Linked DNA regions of Struthio camelus. The protein of the gene in region 3 interacts with the protein of the main gene of each other region in a pairwise test. Links are inferred from orthologs where the notes say so. Each region holds a gene or a part of one and is shown on either strand. Other genes may lie near its edges.

Region 1 (7,280 bases), on a different chromosome or scaffold from region 3:
GTGGCAAGCTGTTACTGCTGAAACTGGGTAGTGTCCACTTTAACAGCATTTATGGGAGGCCAAAATTTTTGCAATAATGTTACGATTTTCCCCATAAGAACAATATGATTATGAATTTGTCATTTGAGACTGTGACCTCACTGAAATCTGCTATTAAACTGTTCAGCATTGCTGTTCCTAGAGGGCACGGGAGAATCTGATCAGTGAATCTATGCGTGCTCATGCTGAGCTGGGGCTCACTCTCGTTGAAATCAGTGACAGAACTTCCAATGACTCCAGCGAAAGCAGAACCAAACTGTTTATGTATAGACATAAACAGTAAGATTCAACTCTTATTTTCAGCTACATAAATCTGGAGAATCTCTTCTAAAATTAGTGGAATTACTGTGATTTACCCCAAAGGAATTGGGAGTATTTTTCTGTAATTAATGAGGGGGGGGGAGATATAATTCCCCTATATTGCCTTATCACTACGTATCAGCCAAGACTCTATCTGCTGTCTAAATCATTAGCTGCTTAAGTTGGAGAGGAAGAGCTGACTTCACCATTTGAGGATTTAAGCTTTCACTGTCTACTGAATTTTCTGTTATCCTTATCCCTCTGCTTATCCCCTTCCCCACATCTCAGAAGAAGGGATGAATTTCTGTTTTCTAGTTCTGCCTAGATTTCTTAAAATCTAACGTACCTTCTGTTTCCATTATTGTGTAATCTGAATGGAGACAACCAGAGCACTTTCCCTTCAGTACTTCAGAACTACCTGCCTCATTATTTTTAGATTATCATAGTTAAATTCAAGCCCAAGGCCCGTAGCCGAGACACTGAGCTGTACTGGAATCTTACTAAATCTGACTTCAAGATAATACCTCCAGAAGAGTCATTCAGCTCTTCACCAGTGGTCGCTGAAGTAAGAAGGACATAATCCACAGACTGAGGTGTAATGTAGCATTTTTTTATGTAGCACGTAGAATTTATTCATCTTTGTGAGGCCCATTGTCGTAACAAAATCTCCATGGCCTTTCACAGAATTCATCTGTGAAATGGCAGTGCTTTGGTAATGGGATATATCATAGGATTTTTCTCCTAACTATGTCATACAGCTAAGATCTTTTCCTCCTCATTGCCCTCATCACTGGCTTCTTGAAGACTGGAACCGCATTCTTCCATGCACGTAGGCCTAGCCTGGAATAATGTCCTTTATCCAAGGGCAGGGACCTGTGCTTTTGGGGTGAAAGCTTCCAACTAAATGGTGAGCTAGAGACAGCTTAGCTAATGGCAAGAAGCTCTATTCTGCAGCATTATATCTCTGTATGTGTATCTCTTCAGTTACCAGATATGTGCACTGCTGAAGAAAAGTCACTACTTCTGCCTATAACAGCACTTAAGTCATCAGCTCAGGCTTCCTACAGCCACACAGGCAGAAACAGTTTCCCCGAAGGAACTACAAAATACGTGCTCATTTTTTTCTCCTTCTTGATACACATATAGATGGTCACAACGACTGGGGTTTTTTTCCTACCTGACTGCTGTTATAACCTCTGTAAAAGAAATTATATCGGCCACCCAAAGGGTGTGACCCACAATGGCGCGAAATATGGAGCCAATATAAAAAACAAATTGTGAGTGTAAGAGTGGCAGCAAATGGGTGTGAAGAAGAGCTGAATGGAAAACCATTGAGCTTTTCTCAAATCTTGCAGAGGAAAATGTTGTTGAGGCAGGTCAGTAGCCTCCAGAATATATACTGCAAGAACACACATTAAACAGCTTGCACAATGAAACAGCCAAAAACAGATCGGTGCTATTACCAGAAATTAAACTGACATATGTCTGCAGATCTAACAGGCTAACATTGAAGGGTTGGGTTTTGTGTGTGAATCACTCAAGCAAAATGCAAATGCAAACATATCAAAAAACTTGTGGTTCAGAACTGCAGGTGGGAACCATCCACAAGTGCAGATGAATATAATAAAACCTCCCCATTCCTTCACATGCAGGAGCACACAGTAAGAGGTAGAGCAGCCTAGCTCCACAGAGGCAAGCAGCCTTAGAATTTGCAGCTGTGACTGTTTCAAGGAGAATTGATTATAGAAATTCAGCAGCTAGGAGTCTTTTCTAACAGAACGTTAGACAAGTCTGCATTTCCCTATAAGGAGGTGCTAAACACTGTGGAGGGTCTTCTCCCGACAGGAGCAATCTAATGGATTATCTTTCTGAATCATTAACAGAACACAATGGATCTTAGGCAGGCTCAGGTACTGGATGTTAGTGGATTAGAATCCAGGCTAGTGAGGGAGATGACTTAATTTTGTGAAAAAGGGAGCAAGCTGAAGCAGCAGCTCATAGAAGGCCAGTATCCCTTGAGAAGGTCATTTTCACTGTATCAGCAGCCTTTCTCCCCTTGCTATTTTTTCTCTACACACAGAAAATTATTCCTTGCTCACAGTGACATTCATCTTTTCTTTCATCCAGCAGAACCGTGGCTTATTGTTTCCAAATGACATCTTTTTATTCCCCCCTTTAGAAGTGCCTTTTTATTTGGAAAATACAAGGAGAGGGTAACGTTAATTGTTAATCTGATTTAAGAGAAAAAAGACATGCCCAACATTTCACTCACCTCTTAAGCACCGAGCAGGCAGCCACCTCCTCAGTCCATCAGCGCAAACGCTCACATCCACAGACGCGTCCCTGTCTCCTTCGGCCCTTTTTCACATCAGCATCTACGCTTTGCAGCGAGCAGACACACCGCGGCTGCAGACGCTGGACCAACAGCTCAAGCAGGAGGAAAAAACCTGCCCTGTCTCATTTCTCCCCCCACCCTACGAAATAAAACAGAACAAAACAAACAAACAAACAAAGCAGTAATAGAAACACTTGTCCCGTGGTCCCCCGGCGTGAGACAGGGAGGTGCTCCGCGGGCGCGCAGGGACGCCCGGGCAGGGGGAGCGCGGGGCTGGCGCTCGGAGGAGGAGTCGGAGGCGGCGAGCCCGTTTCCACGCCAACGGCGGGGGGCAGCGCTGCCGCGGCGGGCGGCGGGCGGCGGGCGGCGGGCGGCGGGCGGCGGCGCTGCGCGGGGGGCGGGCGGCGAGCGGGGCCGCAGCGCTGCGCGGGGGGCGCCGAGCGCGGCCGCTGCCGGCCCCCGGCCCCGCCTGCCCCTCGCACGGGCTCCATGGCGTGCCAGGCGCTAGCTGTTGACGTTTTAGGGATTTTTCCCCCCACCCCCACCCCGTCTACTACGCTATATTGCACCCGTGCCTTATATAACGTGCACGCACATATATGCGCTGCCTTACAGGCTTTACCAGCCACACCGACGCATTCACCCGCCCGCATTTGCTCAGCAGGTCCGCGGTGCCGGCTGCAGGGCTGCTGTGCCTCCCTGTCCGTATCAAGGTTTTTAGGGTGAATTTTGCAGGGCGTACTGAAGCTGCCAGTGAAGTAGTGGGAACAAATCGCATACATTTTGGAATGATGCAATAAGGAGAGAGGGAGGGGGGAAAGAAACTGTTTATCTAGTTACTTGGAATTTAGCTACTGTCCCCATCTACTTTTTTCCATCTTTCCCTTTCTGTGTGTGCCGTGCCTGTATTTTCTTCTTTTCCCTTTTTGCCTTTCACTCTTTCCTATCTTTTGCATTTGTCTATGTGTTTTAGTACAGCTTTTGTTTTTAAGTAGTGCCGAGTATCATTTTTCTCTTATCTCATTAATGGATTTACTTTTTTTTTTCTCTCTCATTTTTTCTAGTGTTTTCTTCCTTTTAGCCATACTACAATAGTAGTTGCACTGTAGAGGCTGCAGTCCTGACCAAATAGCTATGGTTTCTGTCTACATAGCTAATCTCATAGCCATAATTTATTACTGATGCATTTCTGCTGGAGGTAGCAATAGAGCTTTTCAGACATAGACAGAATGCAGACATTTTTTTCCACAATCAGGCTAACATAATACAGTGCAGAAAGCATCTGATTCCTGTAAATACTACCACTTCCAGTACTGATATTATCAGCAGAGCTGCAGCATCGATGAATTATAATAATGAAACAGTTTAGTATAAAACAGAGTATGGCAGCAGTATTTTTCCTGTACACAAACAAGAACCAAACATCAGTGTACCATGTGGGGGAAATTTTCCTCTAAGTAACGAATTGTAGGTCTTGCTCGCACTAGAAGAGTTTGCTGGTACATCTAGAGTAGCAAAGTTATTCTGGTAAACTCCTAGCATAGATACAGTCTGTGCTAGGGTAAATGTACGTTCGCTAATGCAATTTACAACTGAAATTCCCAATTTCTTGAACAAAATTCTGTTATAGCCTATATATTTGCATCTATACAAGGGATTTTACTGGTATAATAATAGCATTTTAAAAAATGTCATATAGATAACTGGCATTACTCTCCCAGCAAAAACAAAATATTCAAATTTGCCCCATCCGAATAAAAAAAGGTAATCACCTTAAAAGCACTACAAGTTTATTTTGAAATTTTAGCTTTAGTATCTAGCAATGTAGTTTTGTCTTCTGATGGATTTATATGATCAGACAGTGGTCAATGTTTTAATTCTAAGAGTGTTTTGCTTTTGTTTTTCAAAAGTACTCTTTACTTGCAGTTGCATAAAACCCCAACATAGTTATGTTGGAAAGGGAATAGACTAAAAAAGTGTATCTGTGATAACGGACTGAGTCTAGATAGACGGATAAGAGAACAATAACAGGGTGTGCAGGTTTAATCTGCTATTCCATAAAGAACAAGTAGTTACTATAGAAACTATCACCTTACATGTGTCTTCGGCATAGTACTTTACATGCAAAAAAAAAAAGCATCTTCTACACATTGACCAACTTTGGGAGAAATAATAGCATCAGCTACCATCATCCTGTGTAGGATGATCATCATTGGCATGCTCTCTCCAGATTTCATCACTTTTAGGTACTTTTGATTGATATAACAAAATGCTTTCTTTCTTGCAGTTTTGAGGGAGGCACCTAACTGTAGATCAAGTCTCAGAAGTGATGGAATTATGAGCAGGCAGCACATGAGTAATGGAACGGGTCTTGCTCTGAGAAGTTTAGGTGTTATTGCTTCAACACGACAGCTTGGGAGCTTGCCATTGATTAATGGTACAGTTAAAACCTGACTCATCTGAAAAATAAATCAGCAGTTCTGTCTATATTTTCCTCAATCTCACCTTGTCCTGTTTCCGGAAGTTCTCATTCCGGGCCTTTCAGCTGGTACTGAGTGCACTACATATAGTCAAGCTCCCATAGAAATTTAAAGAGAAATATATCAAAACAACTTGTGCAGATAATTAAATGCCAAAGTCCAATTGTGCATATTTGATGACCAAGAAGAACATAATTCTTAAGCTCAGTGCTCTGAACTTGTTCTTTATATATGGTTAGACTGAAAACACATAAATGCATATTAGAAGTGAATAATTTGCATTACTTTTTATAACTGAAAAGTCTGGACAAACTATCAGATACAGTGTTCCATAAAAAGCACTTCATGGGATGAATGGGTTAACAAATAGTAGCTTGAGGGAACTGTGATGATCTGATTGGATTCCTGCTCTCTCCTCCATGTAAGGCAGGTCACAATTTTTTTCCTAAGTCAAAACAGGTTTTAATTTGAAGGGAGTAGTGTTTGACTGTTGATATGCAACATCTAATATGCAGCTTACAGGAATACATACCTGTTTCACTCAACTTTCCACTGCTGTCCATTGACCGAAAGCCAAATCTTTGCTTGTTTAGCACTGCTTTCTGCTTGAGATCAATCAAAATAGGTGCATTCATATATGTTTAGTGTGAAGATAATAGTGCTAAAACAGAAATGTGTTCTTAAATGCAAAATCCCACAGGGATTTTTGCAACCATCCCATAGGGATTTTTCTAATCGATTAGCATTTATTATACCATGACAACATCAAAATATTTATATGCACACATACAGGATTCCTGGTGAACGTACATCTCCAAATGATAGAGGGGAAAATTGAGAGGCCACATCTGGTCTGTAATAAAAATATAATAAAAGACATTTTATATTTCATTCAGTTTTCTACCAAACACTCTCGTTTTGTAGATCTGGGTTAGATATTTATAGATGGGTCTGTGATTCTCTTTGAGCATGAAGAACTGAACCGAACATTTAGAGAAGAATAAAGAGGCTGTATTTTTATTTTTAACCATTTTTCTCACGTGGAGGAGTTTAAAATAGCATCAACTGCAGATGACTGGAATCTGATATTTATAACTATCTATCTGACATATTGTTGCTTTGCACCAGTGGCTGTGAGATGGTGGAAAAAAAGCCACGAACGTATCCTTCAGCAGGTGGTATCAGCCTGAATACCTCCTTTGGCTTTATGATTTAGGATGAAAATTCATTTTTTACCAGCATTTCACTCTTGTGTCTTGGGCCTGCATCATTCATGACTGAGGGCTTGGCTTAGAATCAACTGTTCGCTCTATTAGGTCTAATCATTGGAGTTATTTGGGAATTTGAACCCAGACAGGGAGTTACAGCTAGTAACACAATCAGCTAAAGAGAAGGACTTCCTTAGTTTTTCAAAGAAGAAAAGACAAAAAAAGAAGAAACAACCTAAGCCTAAAAATGTAAGTGCCTCCTGTACATTTCTTCACGTTTTTTATTATATACCTGCTATATATGCGCTTCTCATTCATTGGCTTGACTGCTGAATCAGCACTTGCCACTGAAGCCAAGTTTAGAAAAACAAGCACTAAATCCAGCAGTTGGCGGACAGCTGCTTGGAGGCTCGCCTAGAGCCCTGGCAGAAGTGCTGGCCCTCCTGCGCAGTTGACCTCACACAGCAGTCTGCACTTACCATAAGCTTTGTGAGCGAGACAGGCACCCAAACTCCTTCAGAGCCTCCATGGGAAGAAAGCTAGAAACAGAGATTTCATGAAATAAGGTAAAGGAGCCATCAGGCCTGCATTATTATGGAAAAAATAGGAGATAAGAATAGTGTTTTCTCATTTCCCACTATTAAGGGTAAAGGAATGGGGAAAAAAATACCAAACTTTAACCCAAAAGAAAGTGGGAGGCATTTAGTACATAAAAAATGTCACAAATTAAAGTCATTTAAAGTTTATTCATTGCGATAAAATGTTTTTTTTTTAAATATATACCAATATATACCAATTTTTTCAAAAATACATACCAAATTGTAAGTAATTGAGAAGCATACACAACAGGACATGAGTTCTGTAGCTGTCATAAGTACATCCACAAACAGCAATTTCTTATCTAAACTTATTAAATAT
Region 2 (7,261 bases), on a different chromosome or scaffold from region 3:
CCCAGTTTCCGACACTACGAGCCCTGCCACCATAGCAGCCGTCTCTGCCGTCTCTGCATTTTTCAAGTCAGGCACAAAACTGCAAGCCTGCCATGCATTACTTTCAGACTGTCTCATGGAAAAAAATACATATGTACAACAGTGGGGTATTATTCAGTCCTCGATATAGCGATTCAGCCCAGCAGGCTGGTTATTATCGTGAGACAATTTGCTTTAAAAAACAAGAGCTCTGCTACCCAGCAGCGCTGGACACTAATCGCCTGTGCCACCGTGGCCGTAGCCTGCCCTTCTCGCCCAAGGACCCCGTGTGCGCGCTGGCGCGCCGCCGCTGTGGTCGCCACAGCCTCTCCCTTCGCCCAAACCCCGCCGTCCGCCATGCCAGCCTGTTTCTGCAGAAGCGGCTCAATAATTTATGGGTGCTCATCCGCAGCAGCGTCCCCCCCCGATCCCCCTCGCACACCCAGCCCCGCGCCGCCGGCCCCACATCAGCGCAGGGCCCCCCCAGGCCCTCTCCGGGTGGAAAGCGCCCGCCGCAGCGGGCGAGCGGGGGCTGAGCGGGAGCCCTTGCGGCACCCGCTGCGGGCGGGCAGAGCGGCGGGGCGCGCCGGGCGCTCGAGGGGAGCCCTCCCGGGCCCGCCGTGCGCCGGGGGGGGGGTAGGAGGGGGGCGGCTTACTCCCCCGGGAGCCCCCGCGGCCAGACGCAACGGCCTGACACAGCAACGGGCAGGGCATGCCCGAGTCACGCCTGCCGGCGTCTCCCGGCGGGGCTGCGGGCCGCCCGCGCAGGGACGCGCAGGGCAGCGGTATGCCCGAGCGGCTCCGAGCCCCTTCGGCTCTTTCCGAGCCCGTTCGGCTCCTCCCGACCGCCTCCGAGCGCTGTCCGGAGGCAGCCGAGCGCGGCGCTCGGCCTCCGCCGGGCGGAGCCGAGGCGCGCCGAAGCGGCAGCCGCGCCGGCGGGTTCGAGTCCCCGCTGGGCGCTGTCCACCACGGCAACCGCCTGAACGCCGCCGCCGCCGCCCCGCCCGGCCCCGCCGCCCGGCCCCGCCGCCGCGCCCGCGCCCTTCCGCCCCTGCTCGGCGACCCGCTGCCCGGATTGCGGCTTGCCACGCACAACCCCTCCCCGCAGCCTCCACACCCACCGCCGGCGCCCCTCGCTCGCTAGGCAACGCCGGCCTCCGCGGGCCCCTCCCAGGCGAGCAGCCCTCCGCAACCATCAGCGTTAGAAAGCAGAAAGGGCTCCGTGTCTTTTCCGAATTAAAAGCGAGGCACTGAATCAATGCACGGGGTTGCTCAGTGATGGCGCCGCCTTGGACCAGCCTGTCGTGCCTGCTTCAGCGGGCGGCTGGGATTGTGATTGTACTTCAATTAAAAGGAGGGGGAAGGAGGAAAACAAAAAAAAAAAAAAAAAGAAAAGCAGAAAGAAAGAAAACCCCAGCACCCCGCCACGGTCGTATCTCCAGCCGTTCATCAGCGTTCCCCTTACTCCAGCCATCGCGACGCCGCGGAAAAGGCCGCGCAGTGGGTTTTCCCAGCGCTGCTGTTTACCGCGCAGCGAGGGCTGAGGAAGCAGGGCGGGGGGTGTGTGCGGGGCCGGGGCCCGGGCCGGGGCCGGGCCCGGCCGCCGCTGCCCCGCGCCGCCGCCGGCCCCCCGGCTCGCAAGCGGCGGCGGGAGGCGAGGCGAGGGGAGCGGGGCGAAGCGCTGCCGCCCGCCGCTGCCTCCTCGGCCCCTTTAATTGGCGCTCGGCAGCCAAACTCGCCGCTCATTAATTGAAAGGCTAAAAGCTCGGGTGAAAGGGGCTTTGGGTGGCAGGGCGCCTTTCCGCGGAATCCGCATTACCGGCGGATTTTGGCGTTCCTTCCATGAACGCCACAGCGGCAGCCGGGCAGCCCCCGCCGGGGGAGCGGGCGTTGAGGCGCGGGGGGGGGGGAGGCGGGGGGCAGGAACCTGCCGTCGAGCGCCCGCGGCGCGTCCGCCGGCTCTGCCCCGCTGCCTCGGCGGCCGCTGCCGCCCGCTCGCCGGCGCTTCAGCACCACGGCGGCCCCGAACAGCAGCGGGGCGGCGGCGGCGGGGCGGGCGCGGGAGCCGCCCGCCGGCCCCTCAGGTAACATGGCGGCCGCGGGCACCCGCTCACCTCGGCGGCCGCCGCCCGGCCCCGCCCCGCCCGGCCCCGCCCCGCGCGCCGCTCCCGCCGTCGCGATCATCACCGTTACGGCCGTTATGATCGCGATCCCCCCCCCCCCTCCCCGGCCCCGCGCGGCGCCGCTTCTTACTTCATCTGCTTCACGATGGTGCTTTTCCCCGACTCCCCGGCCCCTGCGGAGAGAGGAGAAAGGCGGGTGAGCGCGGCGCAGGGCGGGCGGTGAGCGCGGCGCAGGGCGGGGGGCCGCGCGGCGCCGGGCTCACCTAGCAGCAGCAGCTTCACGTCTTTGGCGGCGCTGATCCCGTCCTCCTTGAGGTTCTTCTCGATGGCCTTGCTCCGCTCCAGGGCGGCCCGCTCCTCGGCGCTCAGGGTACATCCCATGGCGGCCCCGAAAATTGGGAAAAAAAAAAAAAACAAAATGGGAGGAAAAAAAAAAAAAAAAGGAAAACGGGCCCCCGCCGCCGCCGCCGCCTCGGCTGGCTCCTCCGCGGGCAGGAGAGGAGGCAGGGGGCAGCCCAAATCCGCCGGCAAAAAGAGCCCCGGCAGGGAAGGGAAAAAAAAAAAGGATTACAAAAAGCTTTCTAAATCTCTGGGCGGCGCGGCGTGTCCTCGGCGGGTCGCGGCTCCTTCCTCCCCTTCTGCCCGCTCCCTAGTGATCAGCGCATCCGACTGGGCACCGGGCAGAGCGGGGCTGCGGGCGCCGTGCGAGCTCTTCCCGGCGGAGAGGAGGAGGCGGAGGAGGAGGAGGGGGAGGAGGAGGAGGAGGAGGAAGAGGGCTCGTGGCGGGGGGTGGGTCCTTCCCTCTCCCGTGCTCGCGGGTTCCGCGTTCTCCCCTGCTGGCGGGCTGCTCCCGTCTGGCGCGGGCGGCGGCGGGTCCCTCACGGGCGGCGGCGGCGGCGGCGGCGGGGCGCGCTCGCGGAGCTCGGCGGATGCTGAGGGAGGGAGGCAGCGGCAGCGGCGGGGGGGGCGCGCCGGGGCTCCGCGCTCCCGCCGGCCTCGCCCGCTCCCGTGACGCGCGCGGCTCGCGCATGCTCGCGGCGGCCCCCGCCTCAGCCTCAGCCCGGTCGCCGCCGCCGCCCCGGCCCGCGCCCCCCCCCCCCCCCCCCGCCCCGAGGCGGCGCGGCCGGCCTTTCTCGCCGCCGCCGCCCCGCGGGTCCCGCCGAGGCCCCTCGCCGGCTCTCCTGAGGGGAAGCGCCGCGGCGGGGTCAGGCTCGGGCTGCGGGCTCCGCCTCGGGCCACCCAGGGCCCGCGGCCCGGGCTCCTGCCCGCCTTGTCCCGGGCCTGAGAGAGGCCGCGACCCGGGCTCCTGCCCCCTTTCCCTGGGGCTAGAGAGCGGCTGCGGCCTGGGCTCCTCTCCCCCTTCTCCCCAGCCAGAGAGCGGCTGCAGCCCAGGCCCCTGCCCCTCTTCCCCAGGCAGAGAGAGGCCGCGACCCAGGCTCCTGTCCTCCTCACCCCAGCAGAGAGAGTTCATGACCTGGGCTCCTCTCCCCCTTCCCCTGGGCAGAGGCCGCAGTCCCAGCTCCTTTCCCCTTGCCCTGGGCTAGGGAGAGGCCGTGACCTGGGCTCCGGTCCCCCCTTCCCCTGGGTCCTCTCCCCCCTGCCATGGTCACTGTGGGCTGGGGTCTGCCCAGCTGCACAGCTCCCGCACCTCTGTCACTGCCCTGGCTCTGCCCAGGTAGTACAGAGATCAGAGGGGCTGGGAGACGTGTGGTTGGATTCATGACACAGCAGTGCATTTTAATAGGCCTTGGGTCGCCCATGGGGCCGGGGCTGCAGTACCGCAGCCCCAGGCGGTGGAGACGCCCCGTTCCCTTGCTGCCCCGCGGGTCCTCCGCGCCGCCGGCCCCTGTGCGCTGGGCTCGCACCTCCGGCGTGCGAGATCTGTGAGGAGCCCTTCTGAAGCGGTCTGATCAGTTAAATTGTTTTGATCAACACTTGTAATACAAATTGTTTACGTGCTTGAGGGAAGCCATCAAGTTTCGCCACCATTGTGGATATGTTTTCCATCAGTCTGATTAACAGGTGGGTTTTTTTTTTTCTTTCTGTGCTGCAGTGCAATCAAAGATTCCTTCTCACCAGATAACCTGCCTTGTTTTCATAACCATTCCACTACATCTAGCAATTATTTAGGAATTCTAGCAAGTTAAAATCCTGCAATTTTCCTGTCTGGTTTTACCATTTCCTAAGGAGGGAAATGGGGAACAGAAAATGTCAATGGGGAAAATTTCTTTAAAATGCTTTTCCAGCACATAGACAAGTCATGATATATTCAGCTTCAATCCATAACATTGATTGATATGTGACAGTCTGACTATAAAAAAATTAGAAAGAAAAGAATGGAGTGTTGAGGACAGCAAGCTAAAAGCCATCAAACATACAGATGAGCAAACTAAGGGACTATTGCCTGATATGAAGAAAGCACCCCCCCCACACACACACATAATAAACAAGAAGTCTGCAAAGGAAGGGCTGATTGTTAGGAAATAGCATGTGAATGGGAAGGTTTGCCCTTGAAATCCACTCCTACCCCCCCCCCCTTAAGAAGAAAGGATACAACAGGCTTAATACCAGCATTACTCTGTTTAGTGAACAGGCCTTCAGGAAATCCCAGGTCCAGACTTCCCCCGGGCTGTCTCACAGCGAGCGGCTCGGGGAAGGGAGTGGTTTGCCATTTCTTATTTTGGGTGGTAGAGATTGTACGCTCACGCACTGTTGATCTTCCAGTTCGGGCCTTGGCCCACTGCCTCTTCTGAGCTCTTCTTACATCCTGCTGTCTTGAGCTGTGCTACTGCTATATCTACAGACCCTTCCTTTAGGGCTAGCAATACCATTTCTAATAGCACTTCCAGTATGTTAAGCACAGCTTCCCTGACACTTTCCTTCCAGGCAAACATCATCATGTCCTCCCAGCACTGCTTCCCATCACACTTTCCTTCCAGAATCTTTTTTTTTTTTTTTTCATTTTCCCTCCCCTGAAAGGAAGGGAAAAAAATATGGCATGTGGTTAAAGGGGTAAAAAAAGAGATAGAAGGTAGAAATGGGGAAAAAAGAGGGCAAAAGGTAACTCATAAATAATGTCAGTGCATTCAGGGAGCAATAGTATTTACTGCTCATTTGTGAGCTAATAGGTGCTGTATATCTGAATTTTGGGTAATTTATATCTGGAAGCTCGTGGGAATGAGATGACAAGTACGTACATGGAAAAGCAAATCTACCACATGTCTTTGGTTGGGAGTAAATGGAGACGTGACTGATTGCAGAGCAGTTCCTGCTCTTTCATACCCATGCAAATCCCTTGTGTAAAATCAATGGGATCAGAATTTCAATTGGTAAGTTTCATTTTGACGGTACTAGCCAGAGGGATTTATGAAAATTGCAGTTAAAAAAAAAGCACAAACAAAAAATCGAGACGCAGCGTCCTCATGAGATGGCTACGTTTTACTTGCCAACTTCTCCACCAATTTGCCAGCATAGGAGTCGTATTGGGATATTCCCCGAAGATTTCACTAAGAGAATTTGTCTTTCGTATCAGCCTCTGGCTACTCGTTATCTGGCAAATTTGTAGCCCGTGCCTCCTGCCACGGAGAAAATGATTTCACTTCTGCGTGACTAGTGGGGGGGTCCACACTAGGCCTTTTCTCCCATGTGCAGTCCCAATCGCTATGTAAGCGTCTGCTAATCTCTTTCTTAAGGGACAACCCAAAATGGGCAGATCTTCTCCTTGGTGTCTCTGCTCTCAGATTCAGGGGAGCAGCTGTGAAAGTGAGCCGTTTCTGAGCCAAGTTTTACAGGTTTTATGTCACTGCTAATTGAGTGGTGGTGATGGGAAAGTTTCATTTGAATTTTTCTTAGAAGGAAATTTCATTTTTTTACAAATTGTGTTTTCATGGCAGATGGATTTCAAGAACCTGAAAAACAGCCTGCCTCTCCTACTAAGCAATGAAAAAATGTAGCAGTCTACTTGGCCTTTGAGGTTAATACGTTGGGTTTTGTGGCTGAAAATAATGTTTCCAGGGACTGGCGGGATTTCTTTTTTAATGAAAAGTAGTTGGTTTCATTAACAACTTCAGAGAAAATTGTCTTATTTTCTTAAATATGCAAGATATTTTTCATGACAGGTAGTTGGGGGGGGACGACTTTTTTCTGGCCGATCCTGCAGTTAAACTATATCACTCAAAGTACACGAAGGACAGTGCTTGTTTCTGCTTGGACTATTATCTTTACAAGCATAAGAACAAACAGCATATTTTAAACGAAAACCCTCATTCTCCTGTATTTGTAATCTGTGCTTTAGCAAGAACAGTCTCCTCTTCACAATCTGCTTTCAACCATTCTGCTAGGAAAAAATAATTAGATAATCATTTCTTTAAGAAGTGAAGGTTGGGATAACGTTAACAGAATTGATGGATGCGTTTGAAACGTTTAGTGCCAAAGTAAAGTTACTAGGTATATTGTCATCTTATGATCTCCGGGGTGTGGTGTTCCTATGGGTGATGAGATATCTCTCATAATTCTCCTGGCTGTGTCCAAATGGTGGGAGAGATGTGCTCTAAAGCACACCTCACCGTCCCAAGTTCCAGACTACCAGCTCAGGGATTTGTAGAGTGCTCTGACTTCCTTCTAACGTAGACAGCTTGTTTTCTTTCTAAGGGAAACATAGCAGACAGTGTGATGCGGGGGAAGACAAGGAGTTTATTGAGACCCAGGACTTAGGAAGCCCTTCTAGGTCTCACAGTCTGGACAAGTCCTTGGGGAGCAGTTGCAAACCCCTGCCACAGATCCTGGCCGTGAAGGCAGCGTGTGTTTTCGGGATTTAGCCAGCACATGCCTCCCAGCTTGCCAGGAGGTAGTAAAACTGGCTGGGAGAACTATCCTCAGTAAAAACGAATTGAGTATCTTTGGCTTAAACTCCCACAGCTACCACAACGCTCCCACCACCAGAAATGAAGTTGCAATAATATTGGGAGGGAGCATCATGCTGGATCCCGTCCCTGGAATTAGTTGCTATTGTTGGTTCGGCATAGCCTCTGTGAACTGGTGGGTGGTGTGAAGAGGGAGAGGGTTAAATCCAGGATACGATGACCATAGGAGGCAAGCTACAATCCTTTTCAACTTGTCTT
Region 3 (7,701 bases):
CTTGCGGTAACCTCCAGTTATTTTTTCTTCCCTCAAATTAAAAGGTAGCTGTTAAATAAAGTATATAAACAACTGCCTTTAGATCAGTTCTCAGCAGATCTCTTGCAATGGAAATGTCTACAGAGATATGCAGAGATGAATAAGGAACTGAGTAATAGGAAGTGTCAGTGAGCGCCGCGGGCTCCGGGTAACCCGGAAGCGTATGTCACGGCAGCCGAGAGCCCGGCGATGCGGCCCGGACACGGCGCCCGCCCCCGCGGTTCACGCAGCGTCGCGGCCCGCTCTGCAACGGGCCGGGCGCCGCGAGCGGCCCCGCCGCCGGGCGCTCGCCCAGGGACGGGGCATTCGGGGGAAGAAGGTGGCCCAAAAGTACAAAGAGAGCCGGAAGGGGAAGGCAGGGCGCAGGGTACGCTTCCCTTGGCAAACCCCCAAGGGGGGCTAAGGAACTGAGCGCGGCAAAGATTTTACCTCCTCTTGAGCAAATTTTCCAAAATAAATTTATCCAGAGGATAAAAGCTTGGGGGGAAAAAAAGAGTAAAAGCCATGGCAGTCTGAGCCCGCTCTCTGCAGAGACCAAGCAGCTCTGGGATGGAGGGGTCAAAAGCAAAAGCAGGCCGGGCGCGCGACGACGCGCGAGGAGCCCAGTGGGAACAACGCGCTGCCTCCCAAGGCTGTTTTGCCATGTGTACCTGTTGATCACTCGATGCCACAGACACCCACGAGGACGAGCAGGGAGCATGGAGCTTGCCCAGACCCTTTGCATGAGCCCTGTTGAAACTCAAGAGGCTGTAGCCCAAGCCCAGTCTAAAAGTGAGACTACGACCGCAGATAAGCACAGATAGGAGAGGATGCACTTAGCGCAGGGAGAGGGTGGAGATGGGCTGCTCCTGCACCTAGGACAGACTCAGCATTAATCACTTTGCCAAGGTATTTTTCTCCCTTACCCTCTCCGGGTTCGAGTAGCATTATCTGATTACCTGCCTTCAGTTCCTATTTTTTCTTAAATAACAACATCAAAATGGACACACAGACCCTGATTGAAACATATTCGAGTCACTAAATCCCTGCTTCTCCACTATAATCTTATGAGGTGGAGTTTGTTTAATTGCTGAAGAACACGACTGTATTTTGATTAGCATGCGGCTTGAGTCATTTGTGGGGAAGGGCTGACGCGGAGGAGCTAAAATCCTTGTAGGGAAATCTGATGTGGCGTTGTCCCCTGGGAAAGATATTCTGCAATACGTGCCCACTGGGGCGACCCGTTTTCCCAAAGCAAACGACACCCACCAGGACAGCAAAAACAACAGGCTCTGCTCGTCCAGCGTGACACGGGACGAGCGTCTCTACCGACGGCGATGGTGGAGACGCATCCAGAGGGGAGCGAACTCCCCTCGCAGCGGGGAAATCCCTCCCACTCACTTAACACTTTTTGTTTAGTTTCTTAAATAAGGCCACGGACCGGTGCCAGAAGAGCCTCATGGAAGCGGTGGGGACAGGGAGCTTCCCGAGGGAACCTCGCCATGCCCAGAGCCGTAGCGCGAGCCGCACGTGCAACACCTCCGGCGGCCCGCGCCTGGCCCTCCGCACCCCTCGGCCGCGGGGACGCGGCGCCAAGCGGCGGCACGGCACCCCGGGATGCCGCCCACGGGCCGCGCTCGTGCCGGGTGACAGGAAGCCGTCACGCTGCCTTCCAGCGGGACGGCGGGTGGCGGGGGGAGCCGTGGCCGGGACACGTCCGACTGAGGTCCCCTCTGCCCAACCCTCCAGCCTTGCCATTGCTAGAGGCCAGGTGACCTGCTGGGCGTCCCCCAACAAAGAGACCGGACCCCCCCCGCCACCGCCACCGCCTGACCTCAGCCAACCTCCCCGAGGGGCCGGCGCTCGCCGCTACCCCACCGGCGAGGTCAGGGCTCCCTGCAGCTACCGCGCTCTGCTGCCGGGGACGACACCCGTCTACACATGGCGAGACGGGAAGCCACAGAGGGGCCCAGGCGTCCTGCCTGGCCGAGGCGGCGTGGGGCTGGCTGCTCCAGGGCTGCCCTCGCACACACCTGTGGGAGCAGGAGGGCCAGGGCAGCCCTGGGCTGGCCGAGGCCTCGGCGGACACCCCCTCCTGGCACGCTTCCCCCCCCCCACCCTCCCCCGGGGCCGGGTAAGCCCCGCTGCAGGCAGCCCTGCGCCTGGAGGGTGCCCCCCTCCCTCTTCCTCCTTCCTCCTCCTCCTCCTCGCAGGGGCCCTGCCCTCTCGCCGGGGTGATGCAGCGCGCCGCGGGGGGGGGGGGGGGGGTCCCTCGCCCTGCCCGCCGGTCCCCGCGGAGCCATCGCGGTTCCCCCCCCCCCCCCCCCCCCGCCCAGCGCGGCGGCAGCCCCCCTGGCACACGGGGCTGGTGACAGGCAGCAGCCGGGCACGGATAGACAGACGGACGGACGGACGGACACACACACAGCCCGAGCTGCCCATCAACCCCGGCGCTCGCTGCGCGCCGCGGGGGGAGCATGCAAGCATGCATGCATGCGGAGGGGCGCAAGCAAAGCGGGAGCATGCGGTGCGGGGGGGGGGGGGGAAGCGGGGATCTGCCCGCAGCCCGCCGCGGGGAGGCAGCGGCGAGGGCGAGCGAGGGGCGGCGGGCCCGGCCCCCGGCCGCGGCATCCCGCGGGCAGCGCCGGCCGGGCCGCGGGGTACTCACGGGCCGGGCATCCGCCGCCGCCGCCGCGCAGCGCCCTCCGCCGCCGCCGCCCGCTCCCCGCGGCCGCCGCCTCTGCGCTGCCGCCGGGCTCGGCACCGCAGGGAGAGGCAGAGGCAGCGGGCGCGGAGCGGCGCGGAGCGGCGCGGCTGCACTGCGCACGCGTCCCCCGGCCCCTGCGATTGACTTCCTAAAGCAATTGCAGCTTTGGCACTTCCTCACGTCAAAACACACACACACACACCGCCCCGCACCAGCACCCAGTGCACGCACCCGCTACCAGCACCTGCACCGGCGCCCAGTAGCAGCACCCGCATCCAGGACATGCCCCCAGCATCAGCACCCGGTACTGGCGCCATGCACAGCACCCGGTGCCAGCACTCGGCACCAGCACCCTGCACCAGCATCCAGCTCCTTGCACCCAGCATCTACCGCAACACCCTCCACCAGCACCCTCCACCCCACCAGCGCCCTGCACCAGCACCCAGCCTCCCCCAGGCACCGTGCTTCCTGCCCTCTACGCCAGCACTGGGAGGGAACCATTCCCGCCCCAACACACTCCCGCCGGAGCGGGGACGTCACCTGCCCCCAGTGTGCAGGCACTGGGCAAAGGCTCAGCCAAGGGAAGGGGCTGGAGGGACCCTGCTCCTCTGCCTTGCCCCCTCCGGGCCCTTGCCTGTCCCCAGCACATGTGGCAAGGAACAACTGGGAGAGAAGCTGCTTGAAGGATTGCTTTCCCTGACCCAAGAGTCCCTGGTGAGGAGTGGCTTTCCCTAAATCAGTAGTTTCTCTGCCTTTTTTTTTTTTTTTTTAAGGGGGATTATGTGTCTCTAAAAATAAAGGGTGATAAAACTTTGGGAGAGAAAGGAGACATAAAAATTTCATGATCTTGCCAGCCAGGGAAATTATCCCACTTTATTATTCAAAACCTCATTAAAACCCATTTCCCTGGAAAAGACAATGATCAAACCACCCTCTACTTCAGTCCCTGAGACATGCGCTCTGTGACGTGGGGAAAGCAGTTAAAAGAGGCCTTTACTTGTGACTGCTCAGCTGAAAACCCAAACCTGACCACCCTCCCCTCCCATGTGAGTAACAGACCTCCTGGCTTACCCCAGGTCTCTGCCCCTACGCACGGCTAGATTATGTTCCAGACCCTGCGCCTCCCCGCATTTCAACCTGCTGTTTTCAATAGTCTAGATTTTCCTCTTTTTACCCATTCAGCTCGCTCCAGCAGGAGCTAGAGAACATTTGGTCATATAGGACCTGGTTCTGCGCCAGGATCTCGGTGGATGAAGCAGGGGCCTTCCTCAGGTCCCTCCACTATCAGCTTTCCCAACTCTTAGAGCAACTTCAGTGAAATGCTGCGGATGTCAGGCTGTCCCCTTCCCCCACAACGCAACCAGGATGCCAGCCCTCACCTTTGCTTTAGCGTGTAATTTAGCTGAAAGCTCACAAATGTCTGTAAAGGCTCCCACATCCTCAAGCACTGTTTTATGTTCCATGTTTTGGGTTTTTTATAAATCCCCATGAACACTTGGTTGGTGATTCTCTGTGGCTTTTGAGTTACCATCCCTTCAGATACTAAAAAGACCATGAATGTTTCATTGAAAAAAAGTCACCTTTTAAAAAAGGAAGTGTGGATGGGGAGAAAATCTGCAGCCGCTCGCAAATTGCCTGCAAAGTAGTGTTATCAACAAATGGCCAAACTAGACTGCAATCTTCCGCTCACAATGTCACAGCTTGTCCTTAATACCTCCTTTTTAAACACACACACACACACACACACACACACACACACACACACACACACACAACCTGGAGAAGAAAATGCATCTTTTCTAGAAATTGCAAATGCTCCGTTAAATAAGCAGGAACCCTGCTTTAATTCAGCTTTGAGTTTGGAAAGCTGCTTTTCTCCCAGGCCCACCGTCCACCCTAAAGAAGTGGATGAAAACTTTCGGTGCGTGGATGTGCTGGCCCCCACTCCAAGGGCTGGCAGTAACTTCTGGGAAAGCCAGCCACCCCCCCCCCCCAGCACTTTGAAAGGGAACCTAGGAAGGAAGGGGCAGTCTTACTTGAGCTGTTTCTGTCATAAGTGGTAATTGCTCATGGCAGAGGAGCTGAGATGTTTCATGACTCAGGTGGAGATTACTTGCATGCAATCAGCTCTTGCAGGGTCCTGTAGCCTCTCTGTTACTTATCACCGACTTTGCACAAACGTGGCAAAAACTTCCCCAACCCTTTCCACCCCAACCAGCTCCCTCTTCTGCAAGCTCTGCAATCTCCGTCCCACAGAAAGGCAAGAGCGTGTTTCTAACTCCCCGAGAGGGCGGGCGATGCCGCCCCCGGGGGGCAGCGGCTCTCGCCGGGGCTGGCGGTGCGCGGCGCTGGGGGAGCGGGGCGGCGCGGAGGTCGGGCCGGCTCCGGGCTCCCGGCTCCCGGCTCCGGGCTCCCGGCGCCCGGTGCAGTAGCGGGGCCAGCCCGCAGGTGCCGCCCGACTCCGCCGGGAGCGCGGCGGGCGCCCCGCAGCCCGGCCCGGCCCCTGCCCCCCGCCGCCTGCTCGCCTTTTCCGCTCGGTTGGCGATGGCTCGGCATCAGCCCACCGAAACCCACTGCCCGGCGGGGAGAAGGAAAAATTTCCGGACTCTCTCGGAGAGACAATCGAGACTGCAGTTTTGCTGGATGTTGGAGAGCAGCTGTAGCTTCTTAGCCCAGCACTGGTATTTGGACAGTGGGGACATGATCCTAAGATCTGCTAATGTTGCACCCTTTTGGTGCCCTGTAGCCCTTTCTGAAGGGAAAGTGTGTGCCCTGACAGGGTACAGCAGTGCCTTCAATGGACTCCTCCTGCCCAGCGGTGCTGATGGAGATCCCCCTAGGACGGTGCTGAGTAAGCTGAGGTGCTCTCTGCTTGGAGAGTATGGGTAGCAGTGTGCTTTAACAAGTGTTACACAAAGAAAGCACTTGCAAAGCTTGTTTTCCTTCTCAAGAAGAAGGACTCCAATAACTCCAGGCAGGATGCTTGGGAGCAGGAAGCATCCTTCAGTGGACATCTGAGGAGAGCCAGCCTGTGTCAGGACTGAGATACAGCGTGGCTCCCTATGGCTCTGCACACCACCACCTGAGAGAGAAAGCCTGTCAACGGTTGCTCAATAGCCATCTCCAAAGGCGCTCTGAAACTATCAGCCCTGCTGGAGCAGCCGAGTGGGCTGAGCTCTCCCAGTCTGTTTCCAGCCCGTGCACTCTCCCGGAGACTGGCAGGTAATGGGACAGGATACCTGGCGTCTAGTCAGGGACGCATTGCTTCAGAAGGGCCTCTTGCTCTCACCAGTTACGTGGGACTGCTAAGACTCCTCAGCAAACAGAGGGAAATTCGGCTGGAGCGACCGAAAAAATGAATCTGGGCCTGGAGCTCTGAGGTACAGCAGCACCTGCGCTAAGACGGCCAATGCGGGAGTTACAAGAGCAGCGCTGCTGAGCTGCCACTCTGCAGGAAGTGCTTTTCGGAGCCGAGACCGTAGAGGTCATGCTCATCCTCTCTCTGCTGTCTGCTGAGGGCAGCCCGCGGACGCCCTGCGGCACGCCTCGCAGGCCACGTTGGGCTTCTGCGCGGCCACGCAGGCTGCCCGAGGTGGTGCGGTGGCAGCAGGCAGGACAGCTGCCCCGGAGACCGCTCCTTCTCCAGGGCAGAAATCCACCCTGGGTGTCTTTGCAGAATACCTGGTTTGGGCTGTGCAGTTTGATCCCTGCCAATTTATTCCCTTTTGAGAAATAGTTGGACATCCTTTATAACCGTTTTGCTTTTTTAAGGCCCTGGAGCTTCCCAGTAGATATCAGAGCCACACAGAGGTTACTAAGTGCCCCGTTTCACACGCAGACCCCTAGCTCATGTGCTAACTCCACGGCTTCCTGTGATTGCTCGCACACTGACTGAAAAGAAGAATCCTTCTAGGTAGGGTCGACGTTTATTTTCACTCTGCGCGTTCCTCTCGGCTTTTTCTCCCCAATAACAGGAACCAACTACATATTGGCTCCATGAGCTCTGCAGCCACTTCAAAGCAGCTCTGAGTTCCACTTTCTACTTCCTTTCATTAAAGGCACAGACGAAGGGATCTGATCAGTCCACCTCCTTCCCACGGGGGCAGTAAATAAGCCGACCTGAAGTGCAAAGAGCATCTCCCCTGTGCTCAAACTCCCAGATAAAGCAATAGCTTGGAGTTCTGCAGTGCGGCTCTCCATAGGTTGTAGAGCAAAGTTTAAAAAAGGGTTTTTGCATCACCAGGGGCAATGCGACTATAAATTCTATCATGTTTAGTGGAAAGAGGGTTCGTTATTTTGATTTCCTAATATAACAGGGCTTATGCAATCATCTCGTGTATCAGCGTACTCACATTCTTCTAGATTCCACTCTCTGAAAACTTCATAACCCTTTGGCCAGTTTTAGTCAAAACTGACAGAAGTACAGAGTTCTCCAATGTAATTCAGGTCCTACAATTACAAACAGCTGGGTGGAGGAGAATGACCCTGCAAAAGCTGCAACTGTGAGAGAGACTAACATAGTCTGTCATGCCTTATTAGACATCAGAGAATCCACATGGACCTGACACTTGATTGATGTCTAAACCGTGGGAAAAACTTCAGACAGAGTTTGTGCCCTCTCAGGCACCCAGGTCAGTCCCCCAAGAGACAAGAGCCTGTTGAAAACCAGGCTGCACAAATTCTGGAGCTCACAGAGCTGTTTGTTTGCCTTTTAGTGCCAAGCTTGGTGGGGGGCGGGGGGGGGAGAAAAAAAAACAAACAAAAACCAGAGCTTAGCAGAAGCCTTCGCCAAAAGGGCTAACGCTGCTGTTTTAGGCTGGAATTAAGAGCAGCATATGGGGCTGCAGCCCCAAAGGCTGCCTTCGGCATCGCACAGGCGTCCTTGAAGGACGCACTGAAGATTATCAGCTCTGCTGACCAGTGGCACGAGCTGTCGGGGTCTGAGTGCAATAATAGGCCTTAACAGCCTTAACCAG

The links.
Region 1: the proteins of RGS19 (region 3) and GNAZ interact in a two-hybrid assay, tested with the Homo sapiens proteins (2 studies listed by BioGRID). The link is inferred for Struthio camelus from reciprocal best matches to the Homo sapiens genes RGS19 and GNAZ.
Region 2: the proteins of RGS19 (region 3) and GNAO1 interact in a two-hybrid assay, tested with the Homo sapiens proteins (2 studies listed by BioGRID). The link is inferred for Struthio camelus from reciprocal best matches to the Homo sapiens genes RGS19 and GNAO1.

The regions. Positions count from the first base shown.
Region 1 is NC_090958.1:8,575,381-8,582,660, reverse strand, and holds the start of GNAZ (guanine nucleotide-binding protein G(z) subunit alpha), read right to left. Parts: upstream 3,001-7,280; 5' UTR 2,612-3,000; intron 1-2,611. UniProt on the Homo sapiens protein: Guanine nucleotide-binding proteins (G proteins) are involved as modulators or transducers in various transmembrane signaling systems.
Region 2 is NC_090951.1:21,792,009-21,799,269, reverse strand, and holds the start of GNAO1 (guanine nucleotide-binding protein G(o) subunit alpha), read right to left. Parts: upstream 3,001-7,261; 5' UTR 2,523-3,000; coding exon 2,405-2,522; intron 2,338-2,404; exon of another isoform or gene 2,315-2,337; coding exon 2,272-2,314; exon of another isoform or gene 2,250-2,271; intron 1-2,249. UniProt on the Homo sapiens protein: Guanine nucleotide-binding proteins (G proteins) function as transducers downstream of G protein-coupled receptors (GPCRs) in numerous signaling cascades.
Region 3 is NC_090959.1:17,475,254-17,482,954, reverse strand, and holds the start of RGS19 (regulator of G-protein signaling 19), read right to left. Parts: upstream 3,025-7,701; 5' UTR 3,010-3,024; coding exon 2,970-3,009; intron 1-2,969. UniProt on the Homo sapiens protein: Inhibits signal transduction by increasing the GTPase activity of G protein alpha subunits thereby driving them into their inactive GDP-bound form. Binds to G-alpha subfamily 1 members, with the order G(i)a3 > G(i)a1 > G(o)a >> G(z)a/G(i)a2.